3 linked regions of the Tribolium castaneum genome follow. The protein of the gene in region 2 purifies or fractionates together with the protein of the main gene of each other region. This does not show direct contact. Links are inferred from orthologs where the notes say so. Each region holds a gene or a part of one and is shown on either strand. Other genes may lie near its edges.

Region 1 (4,054 bases), on a different chromosome or scaffold from region 2:
TTGGCAAACTGGAAAAATTAAAACATCCAAAACTACGAATTATAAAACAAACGTGAGGACAGATACGGAATCCTCAGTCAATTTTACGTAAGAGAGGCATATTTTTGACCTATATTTTTGATTATTGTGACCTTGATTATTTTTTTATTGGCAGATAAGTAAATCAAAATTTTGATTAAGTTGTTTTATTCGATTTATATTCAGAATTTTGACCCGATTGTTACTAAATTTTGTGCAAGAATAGGTAATTAATTAGTAAAGAGGGCTACAAGTCGTTTTTAAAAGTAGATTTATTTTATTTGTTTTTATTTTTGGTAGACTGGAAAAATGGAAATCCGCCGTATATCGTCTAAAATATCTTCAAAACTACGAATCGTAGAACAAAAATGAGGAAAAATTTGGAATCCTCAGACAATTTTACGTTAGATGGTCATATTTTTGACCGATATTTTTGGTTATTGTGATCTTGATGATTTTTTTATTTGCAGAAAAGTAAATCAAAATTTTGACCAAGTTGTTTTGTTCGGATTATTTTCAGAATTTTCATTAGATTTTCACTAAATTTTGTGCAGGACTAGATAGTTGATTAGTAAAGAGGGCTACAAGTCATTTTTACGAGTAGTTTTAATTCTTTTTATTTTATTTTTTGTAGATTGGAAACATAGAAATCGACCGGATATCATCTAAAATATCTTCCAAACCACGAATCATAGAACAAAAATGAGGAGAGATTCGGAATCCTCAGACAATTTTAGATTAGATAGATTTTTTTTTATTTTTGGTAGCTTGTAAAAATGGAAATCGACCGTATATTGTCTAATATCTCCAAAACTACCAATCATAGAACAAAAATCAGGAGAGACTGGGAATCCTCAGACAATTTTACGTCAGCTAGACGTAATTTTTACCTGTATTTTTGGTTATTGTGATCTTGATGATTTTTTTATTGCCAGATAAGTAAATAAAAAATTTCACCAACTTGTTTTATTCAAATTATTTGCACAATTTTGAATCTATTGTTACTAAATTTTGCACAGGAATAGGTAATTAATTAGCAAAGAGGGTTACAAGTCGTTTTTACGACCAGATCTAGTATTTCTATTTTTTTATTTTTGGTAACTAAAAAAATGGAAATCACCATACATCAGTTAATATCTCCGAAACTACGAATCGTAAAACAAAAATCAGAACAGATTTATCAGAACAGACATATTTATGACCTATATTTTTGGTTATTGCGATCTTAGTATTTTTTTATTGACAGATAAGTAAATTAAAATTTTAACCAAGTTATTTTATCCGGATTAATTGCACAATTTTGACTGGATTGTTACAAAATTTTCCTCAAAAACAGATAATTCATTAGTAAAGAGGGCTACAAGTCGTTGTTACGAATAGATCTATTTCTACTTTTTTAAATTTTTGCTAACTAGAAAAATGGAAATCATCTAATATCTCCAAAACTACAAATCGTAGAAGAAAAATGAGGACAGATTTGGAATCCTTCGACAATTTTACGTTAGACAGACATATTTATGACCGATATTTTTGGTCATAAGATGATCAATTAGCAAAATAGGGTTACAAATTTAGCTGAGTTTCAAACCAAAATTTGTAGGTTCCACCGTACAGAAAAAGAAATAATTATGGAAAATACTATTTTACGCCAAAGTTTTAAGACAGGATACTCACTTTGCCTGTTGGTATCTCAAACCGGCGCCAATTGTGCTCGCTCTTGAACTTGTACGCCGCCAACAGCATGTGGCACAAGGCGCCCCCGGGCTTAAAATCCATAAAATACCGCACCGGGATGCGGATCATGGGCGGCTTTTGCACATTTTTGCCCAAAAAGTCCTCCTGGAATTGCATCAATTGCAAAACCAACATGGAGAGACTCTTATTAGTGACAGGTTCGGCTTGAAAATACTGAAACAACCACAATGATGGGGGCACTCACAGCGCTCAGAACCTCACCTTTTTGCCATTCTTCTGCAGCCACTGCCTCACAAGCTCGAGGGCCGCGAGGGTTTCCGGCGATTCGAAGTATTTCACGTTAGGACCGCCGTCCTTTTTGGGGCCGTAGCCCATCATTTTGCCCACAGAAGAATAATTCCCGACTTACGAAACTACCGTATTACTGAGACTTAACTAAATTGTACATTACTTTGGTAAACTTTACAGAAATATACAAATAAATAGCGTAAATTTAGCGAAATAAACCGACGCTTGAATATCACAATAATGTCAATTGTCAAAATGCGAAGTATGGGCAACCAGTAATACGTTATCCGGGGCGGGAAATTTGAATTTCGAGCGTGAGCGTGTTTGCAACACGTGCCCACGCTTCACGGGCCGATGCACGTTCACTGTCATGGACTGGAAACGTTCACATGTAGGGAAATAACAGATCAAAACAACTTATGTAAGCCGAAACGTGTGAAATGAGCGGTCGTGAATTTTCCTGGCGTTACCTAACAGCTCACGTGAAACGTGACCGCAGCTGAGGCATTTCCGAAAAAAATCGGGTCTTCGCGTTGTCTGAAGCTCGACGGGCTTATGCTGGGCCTCAAACGGGGGCGAAACTGCCAGTTTTGGGGCTCGGGTACCTCGCCCCCGTGGCCAAAAGTTTCGCTCTGATAGGTGTAATAGGTAGGGATCACGTGGGTCTCCACGTTACTTTGAACGTGATCTCTGGTTTGGCTCATGTGCAAACAAACAAACAATCCCCGCGTTACGTTCCGGTGCACGAATGAGCTCGCAGCAGTGGCGTGCACTGAAATTTTTTGGCAAGGAAAAAAAAACAGTTACAAAAACTTACCTCTTTGTGATCTAATTCAATTCTCCTCCCTTTTTCCTAATTCCGTTATCACGACATGTTTATACACAATATTGAAGTAATGAAGCACCAAAAATGAGAACATACTAGCTTACTAGCATAGGATATACAAACCAAATTTTTGCTTCTATTAACGTCACTTGGGTAAAAGTTACAAATTAACAAAGCTGACGCCTATACTAGGTATTCGGTTCAGAAAAAAGCTTAAAAATAAAAACGAGCGCTTAGAGTATTATTATTAGACCGCCTCGTCTCTAGATTGTTTTAAATTATAATTAAAACTTACGTAACTGTGAATAGTTCATTCATGGATGGAGAAAGCGCAGAAACGTTGAGAAGCCATTTTTTTTTATAAGCTAACATCAGAAAAAAATCATATTTATAGTTTTACAGAATAGTTTTGCTGAAATTGGTAAATGATTTTATAATTAATATAGTTTATAATATTTTTTTTACATTAGCTTTATTTTTTTTTATTATATTTTACCATTCCCCTATCTGGCGTTAACTTTCTTGTGTGTCCTGTGTTGACTGATATTTAAGTTCGCGACTTTATTAGAAAAATTTTCCTAGTTTTTAGGTCTAGCTCAACTAAAAAAAAAAAACACTAAAAAAGCCTAAATTCCTTGTCAAAATACCTTTCATTTGAGGTATTTCGAATTGTGAAGGTGTTGTTTTTAATTTTTTAATACAAAAGAGGTAGGTGCTACAAATTTCGAAAGGACACTAACAGGTGTCCCCTGTAAATAAAAATTGACCTGTTTTCGGATTTACTAGTTTTTTTGTTTGTTTTCTAACATCCAGGGTGATTCGTTAAAAAAACAATCAGTTAAAAAAAGGATCATTTTTTATCACTTTTCATAATATTTTTTCTTCATGAAATAGAGCATCTTGTTTGAAATATTGTCAGTAGAGTTCAGTTCTAACAGAGATTTTTCTTTTACAAAAAAATCAAGCGTTTAGAAGTTATTTCACCCCAAAATAAAATGTTTTCAAAAATTGGATCACAAAAATTATTTATTATTTATTATAATACAGAGCCGGCTCTACGGACCGTGAAATATATGGACGGAGAGGCAAAAAGGATCCACAAAAAAAAAACTTTAGGTGGTCAATAAGAAAAGGGCTAAAAATTTAATACAATCCATTTTGAAAATGGTAACTTTAACTGAGATTTTATTGCAAATGGGTCTATAAACGCTAAAAAGTACACCCTAT
Region 2 (3,515 bases):
GGCGATATCTTTCCATGTTTTGTTTTTCGTAACCTTCGAAAATAAAAGAACATTATTTCTAACTAGCTAAATAAGTGAAAATAATAGTAGTACCTCCAGAAAACCACCCCTGTCCTTAACATAGACATACAAACGGAACAAATCAAGCGGGTTCTTGGAAATAGTAGGGCAAGTAGTGATTGGCGATCTTCTCTCTTCCATAAATGTGAGTAGTTTATCCAACCAAGCACGTCTATCTGGACTGTCATCCATTTCGTATAACTTGCTGAGACTATCAGTTTTCTGCAAAATACATAAAGAATAAGCAAAGGATAAAAACAAAAGTCCCTCTTTCTGAATTGTGGTTTCTAAACGTCAAGCACTACATAAAACATGCCTCTGACATGCTATCACAAGCATTAGCACGACATTAAATAATATTATATATAAACCTTTGAGCGATACGTGTCCGGAGGAGGCACATGACTGTTAAACACCTGGAAACACCCGCCAGTTAGCTCAATGAACACACTAAACACAATTGACTTAAGCTGTTTGTTAAGTGGGCTAAAGAAAAAAACACCAACAGAAAACACCGGTCCCACCCGTAATTACGACACAAAATGAAAAAATTTATTTCGAAAAATGCAGGTCCATACACAGTCATCAGTCACTAAAAAATTTTCATCTACGGATATAGCGGTAGGTGGTATCCCAATCGTATTAAAAATTTTCAGTTACGTTACTGAATGCCACAGAACTCGATCACACAATTTCAATATAATACTTATATGCATTTTAACAAAAACTTGTGTAGAGTGGTAAATACATTTAAAATATTTAAAACACATATGATTGTGTGTGAACACTTACGATGCCGTATTGTCATATAAATCTACCACTTACTGGACTTGCGGGGGTCCTTGGCCAACTTGGACTGCTTATTTCGTAGTCGTCATGCATTGAATTCATACTTGCTGCACCAGGAGATGGCACTGTACTTTGCGGCGTTGTTGGATGGCTATAGTGACCCATTTCATTTTTCCGATTCGATTTCGGTGTGGTACACTGGGGATCTTCGCCGGAAGCTGCAATCAAATAAAATCAATCAAACTTCATTTTACCAAAATTAAATTGTGAAAAAATTTTCAATATTCCGAGATCTCGGCGCTCAGAACCGAGGGGAAAAGTCATTTTCGCAAAAGCGAATAATTTGACTTTATACATCAGGTCCCCCCCTTTTAATGATTCAAAAACAAAGCTTAGTAATGGTCGCAATCTCCGTAAATTCTTGAAATTACGCACTACAAAATTATGTACCAGCGGAATTGTTTAAAATTGCTTCAGACTCAAAAATACGCAGTCGACACCAAAATTAGAAAGAAATTCAATATGTATGTACTATTATGATTTTTCCGACTATTAGAATATACTACTATATTTATTCGTTTTATGAGTAAAAAGTCGCAGCCAAACACCTTCTTGTTTATTTTTTTAAAGACGATGAACACTATTTTTTATTTTCATTGAAATTATTTAGAAACTCGCACCACTTACCGAAAAACAGATAAAATTTCAGTAACATAAGATTAAAAAAACGTACGAAAAAACTTAACCAGATAAACATACGAGAGTAACTGAGAAAAAAATCAGTTAAATATTAATACGTTATAAATCTTTTTTGTGATGAAACACTACCGCTACGATAAAAACCGAAGGTTGAATTTGAAGTTAATTGAAGCTCGGTTGAGGGAAATTTTATTTGTACAAAGATAAGACAGGCAAATTCTACTCGTTTTATTACCGGCTGATGCATTTGACAGTGTCGATTGTTGCGATCCTTCATCGATCGGTGTCCCATCAGGTCCTGTTGTAACAACGGAAGTAACCGATCCTCCCGCCGCCGTTGTGACATGAGTACTCATCCCACCTTGTGCCGTTGTCGTAATCCCATTATCCATCATTTCAGAACCCATTTGCGTATGTGAATTCGGTGTCGAACTCGGTGGCGGCATGGGACCGTCATGTGAATGGCTGTTAGGCATTAGGGGACTGCTCGCGGGTGGCATATTCGGCGGCGGTCCCATAGTGGGCGGCGGTCCCATCCCCGAATGGTGGTGTCCCGCCGGCGGCGGACCCATGTGGTAATTCTGCGGCGGACTTGGACTCGGTGGCGCCGATCCGGGAACGTTACCGAAGCCCATTTTGTGTTGTAGGTGTTGTTTGAGGTAGTGCGGAGGTCGCGGCGGCGGTCCCGGGGGACCGGGCGAAGGTGATCCTGGGGCTTGCGGCGGTCCGTTACCTTTCGCTAACGTCATCGGTCCTTGCCACGGTTGTTGATACGGCTGAAATTGCGAATTCGGCATGTGGTTGGACGACCGATTCGGATACTGTTGCGGAGACATGTTGTTGTTAGGGGGCGGCGCTTGCGACGCCGGGGGGCCGTAGCCCTGGCCGGGATACTGGATGTTGGCTTGGGGCCTCGGCGGATAACCGCCTTGCGGGTACTGCTGGTTGGGCTGATAAAGCGGCATCTGCTGGCCGGCGGGGCCGGGGCCAGGCCCTGGGCCGGACACCATGCCCGGATGGCCCTTATAACCGTGAACGTGGGCCGGATGAGGCGACGAATAGCTGCCTTGCGTCGCCATCGGCGAATGGCTCATTCGAGTTGATCCACTGCCATCTGATTGACCACTGGACGGCCGAGGAGGCATCGGAATGTTTTGCTGACCTGGAAAAACAAAAACGAATGAAGACGGTGCTTGACACTTCAATGTTTCACTATTGACACCGACACGACAACCATCACAAACACAAACGGACCTTACGTCCGTCTCACATGTTTCAAGTCAGAGCGGTCAAAAAATCCTAGCAAATTTTGGCACAACTCACAAACACTTTCTACAGGTTTTGGCGGCCGGAAATTGGCGCAAATAAATCCCGGAAAACAACAAATAACAGCACCATATACGATTTCAAACAACTTTAGACGCCGAGGCAAGGCAAAAGTTCGTACCTTGCCCTAATCATTTTCGGAATTCAAACAATTTTGAAAAAATTGCAATGTTAGGTTTGGCGTAGGTGTGACTGTACAAGTGAATGCCAAGTAATCGAGATACAAACAGCTTACAAGCCCTTTTCGATTAAAATTTTACTAAAACTGTCGTAAAACATTTTACTGGGGTCATTATGGTCACACTATCTCAATAAAATATTGATTTTAATAACTACATCAAAAATTATTTTTTTAACGTAGTAAAATTTATACTACGTCGTAAATAAATTTTTAGAATCTAAAATCACTAAATCACTGTAGTATGTATCATACAATAGGCGGAGAGATGATGATAATACCACAAATAAATGGCGCTTATGCTGCAAAAATATTTTACATTGTCTGAAAAAAAAAGACAAGCGGTAGTGCTTTCAAGTTTATTTTTATTGTTCTAATGCATAATGCAAAAATACTTGACTGCGCTTTATCAAGTATATAATGGAATCAACCACAAACTATAATAAAAAAATTGATAAAATAA
Region 3 (3,944 bases), on a different chromosome or scaffold from region 2:
TTTGTTTACGATTGATTGATTGCTTGTAGTGGTCTAAGTATATATTTTTTTAAAACGATTTTATTTTGTTGTTTTTCTCAATGGTGCAGGTCGGACGGTTGGCTTGACGGGCGCAAGTGCTAATCGCTCCGATGCAATCTAATTTCATTGTGATAAGTAGCAAAGTTTTGTTCTTCCGTCAAAGACCCGATTGGTGCACAATTGCATTTCTAATTTATTTGTTTTTGTTGACTGTAGATAATTGTTTAGTAACAGTCTTTGGTACAGCTGTCGTAGTTGTGTAACGAAACTGATAGTGGATGCTTGAGTCAATAATGCAATTTATTTATTTAAATGATGGAAATTATATTCTAATAAACTAATACAAATTTCCTGTTTGTTTCCCTCATTGTTGCCGAAAATTTTTCACCCTTATAGGAAAAAAATCACTGAATTTTTGAGGAAAAATTCTCCAGCCTTAGTGAGTTTGTTTTTGGTTATTTGGAGACATTTTAAGGAAAGTGACTTGAGTTAAAAATGCAGTTTATTTATTAAATGCTGGAAATTATATTCAAATAAACTAATACATATCTCGTGCTGGTTTCGCTCAATTGTTGCGAATGCCGAGTGCTTGCTCCAGTTCGGCCCTTTTTTGCTGCACCTTGGTGTAGAAATAGCGACACACGGCTTCTTGCGCCCACGGTTGGTAGAAAAAGTCGGACCTCCGCTCCTCTTCAGGATTGCCCACCACATCGGTCATACACTAGAACAAACGTGCGGAAAATGCCACTTTTCCACCCTAATACACTCACTTTCCATACCTTCAAATCCCTGGTTTGTGACACGATCCACTTGTAAATAAACTGTTGCGGATCTTTGGCAAAACTCAAGAAAAACTCACGATTTGTTTTCAATTGATTAATCGTATCGACAGTTTCGTGAATTTTCGCATCCAAACCTTGGATCTCCTGCTGACTAGCTGTGCTCAACAGGAAATTATTCATCTGAGTTTTGAGCGTATCGTCCACCTCCACGTCAATATCGTAGCAGGCGGTTTGCTTGCTTTCGGCCCCGCCCTCCACCGAGATCACGTGATTGATGACGATAGGGTCCGGTGGGTGGAGCAACGGGTTTAAACGTTGGGGGATTTCCGCAAATTTCATCCGAGGACACCCGAAGATCTGCTCGAGATATTTATCACACACGATGTATTCGCGTTCGTGGGCGTCTTGCAATCGGTGCGTTTTTATATACTGCCATAGGGCGGAGATGATAACGGGGCGTGTCTGCGTGTGCACGCCCAATAAACGGGCCAATCGCGGGTCGAGTTTGAATTGTAGCGGTTGGTAGTCGAGTAACAAAAGAATAGTGCACCGCACATTCTTATCCCCAGGTCTCTTGACCTGGAAACCGTCTGTTTCTTGAGTTGTTAAGGTACGGTGCCATTCCACCAAGTGGTTATCAGGACCGTACAACTCCTTATCGAGCTCAATCACCAACGATTTGAAAAATGACGAAAATTTGCGTTTGACTTTATTGGGGTCACTTTTCGAGTCGTCTAAAAGGCGGCCCTCGACTCGCAACTCCCAAGAGGCCACGGAGCCCTCTTGTCCAGGGCCGTCTGGGCCCTCGGCGCACGCCTCTTTGGCTGGATAAAACGTGTTAGAGATGAAAATCCTCAATTTGCGTTTTTGTTTCATTGGACGTTTTAACGCCTCTTGAATATCCAACCGTTTTCTCATTATGGTCGAGTCTAATTTACGCTCAAACGCGAGTAAATCCATGTAGGCCTGGCTTTCGGGCACCAAATCTCTGACTTTTTGGGGCAAAATCTTGTCGGAAAGCTTCTTCTTTTTCTTGGTTCCATGTGGGTAATCACTGCCAACAGCGTAAACGATTTTTTCGAACAAATACAAATATTTGAAATAAATAAAAATAACAATTCTGTATACTCCCAATTGCTTACCTCTTTTGCTGCATGACGGCCCTGTTGTCCGGGGGCCGTTTAACGCCCGGCTGGGGCGGCATGGGCCCCCCTCGCATGGGCGAATAGGGGGCTTGAGGGGGCCGCGGCATCATAGCGCCCGGCTGGGCCCCCATGTTCGGGGGCGGGGTGTTGTACCCTGTCCGTTGCTATAGTGCGAATTAGAAATAATTGGGTGGAAAATGGGGAAACTCACCGGAAAATTCTGGGCTGGGTACTGGCGCATTCCCGGATTTTGGGGCGGGTAACGCTGGGGTGGGGGCCCCCCGGGACCTTGGGGCGGCACGGGGCCCGCGAAACGCTGGGCCATGGCCTTTTATCACTTCTTAAGCACAAAAAACACACAGATGCGTCCCCAGTTGCCCAGTTTCGGTCTTGTGTGTTTGGTGGGTTTGGTGACGAAGGTGTGCGTGGACGAAATTGTTAATTTGATAAGGAATTATCAATAGTAAATGTGTGATTAAGAACGGTTTTGCGACCTTTGGGTTTATTGAATCAAAGTTTGGGAAAAAAATACGAAAAAGGTGTGAATTCACTATTAGGTTTTGTGAACATTGTGAGATTGTGACCAGTTGAGCTACTAGTAGGGGTACCAACACCGTTGTTTTTCCGTATTTTGTTTAAAAATTTTCAGAAAGGTTGTTGGGTTGTTTACGCGTGTTGTTGTGGGTGTTTTGGGGCCCGTGGGGTTGTTGCCGGTGGTCAAATGAATTTATTTTCGCATTTTTTGTGTTTGGTTGCCGGCCTGGTGACAGAAGAACCATGATGGCGTCGCTGTTTATTATGTGAGAACTTCACATAAAAATTGGTTAAAAAACCCCGAAAAACTCACAACAAAATGTAAAAACAGTAATTTTTGGTCAGAATGCCTGAAAAGCCACGTGTCCATGCAATCAAGCTTTGAGCCAAACCTAGTAAGTGCCCCCAACCAAATAACCTTGATGTTTATTTACCCCTTACTCCTAGGTAGAAAATGGGTTGTGTTAGCAGCAAGCCCGACATAAACGATCAACACCCGAACATTTTCGACGTATCCAACGTCAACGACCAAGGCGACTTGGTGAGCCCCGGCAAGCTCGAAGTCCGGGAAACTGAACTAGTCCTACACCAAAGAGGCAAAAACCCCACAGTGTGGCCCCTCAGGTCGCTGCGCAAGTACGGCTTCGACTCGGAAATTTTCAGTTTCGAGTGCGGTCGCAGGTGCCCCACTGGCCAAGGCATTTATGCGTTTAGGTGCCGCAAGGCTGAGCAACTTTTCAATATCGTCCAACATCACATTGTACGTAATTCCGACGAGAACCCCCTTATTAACGCCATTTCGGACTTTCCGGCCGTTTCCACGGGGCCCCCTGTGCAGCGACGCGCCCCGTCCCAGCCCGAGGGCTATCTCAATCCGGTGGGGGCCCCCAGGCCGAGTCTGAGCCGCCCTGGGTCCATCACCAGCAACGGCCCGGTGAGCCCCACGACGGCCGAGTCGACGCACGAACACAATAATAATAAGAGGGGCAGTTTGGGGGACCACCAGTACACCAATTCCAGTGTTATTACTGAGTTGGAGGCTCCCAATTATGCCAACTTAGGCGCCGCAGCCCCCGAGGGGTAAGTTGCTAAAGTCCCAGATTTATTTCATTTAGGGCGCTTTTACCGATTTTTTTTACACATTTTTGTCAGTTAGATTGAAATTTTGCTAAATAAACAGCTTTGCCAACTGTGCCACTTTTATATTTTTTTTCTTCGGTGAATAATTTATAATTTTCTGCCTTTAAATAATAATAAGTTGGTGATAAATTAAAAATTTTAATTTGGCAGTTTTGATTTAAATAAAAATAAAGTCACTGGGTATTTAGATGTGGGGAGGAGCTGCGCCCCCTTGTGGAGAGTCCGTGCCACCTGTACATGAATGTGGACACCGTTGGAACCAAAGACTCGGATCCTTCCGAGGACAACGCAAGACATTGCTACGCCAATATAGACACCAAAG

Evidence for each region. Proteins that work in one complex are often made in the same cells at the same time.
Region 1: the proteins of osa (region 2) and mor purify together in Drosophila melanogaster (affinity purification with mass spectrometry; 3 studies listed by BioGRID, with this or other methods). This does not show direct contact. The link is inferred for Tribolium castaneum from reciprocal best matches to the Drosophila melanogaster genes osa and mor.
Region 3: the proteins of osa (region 2) and Bap60 purify together in Drosophila melanogaster (affinity purification with mass spectrometry; 3 studies listed by BioGRID, with this or other methods). This does not show direct contact. The link is inferred for Tribolium castaneum from reciprocal best matches to the Drosophila melanogaster genes osa and Bap60.

Annotation. Positions count from the first base shown.
Region 1 is NC_087395.1:15,650,953-15,655,006, reverse strand, and holds the start of mor (SWI/SNF complex subunit SMARCC2), read right to left. Parts: upstream 2,806-4,054; 5' UTR 2,092-2,805; coding exon 1,975-2,091; intron 1,927-1,974; coding exon 1,693-1,926; intron 1-1,692.
Region 2 is NC_087403.1:4,034,006-4,037,520, forward strand, and holds part of osa (trithorax group protein osa), read right to left. Parts: intron 2,711-3,515; coding exon 1,784-2,710; intron 1,068-1,783; coding exon 886-1,067; intron 477-885; coding exon 432-476; intron 283-431; coding exon 94-282; intron 34-93; coding exon 1-33. UniProt on the Drosophila melanogaster protein: Trithorax group (trxG) protein required for embryonic segmentation, development of the notum and wing margin, and photoreceptor differentiation. Required for the activation of genes such as Antp, Ubx and Eve.
Region 3 is NC_087395.1:25,852,051-25,855,994, forward strand, and holds Bap60 (brahma-associated protein of 60 kDa), read right to left. Parts: upstream 2,491-3,944; 5' UTR 2,274-2,490; coding exon 2,160-2,273; intron 2,113-2,159; coding exon 1,946-2,112; intron 1,858-1,945; coding exon 792-1,857; intron 743-791; coding exon 587-742; 3' UTR 506-586; downstream 1-505. Other genes in the region: fibroblast growth factor receptor substrate 3, read left to right, coding at 2,937-3,562, 3,811-3,944. UniProt on the Drosophila melanogaster protein: Involved in the recruitment and site-specific anchoring of the Brahma complex at specific promoter sites.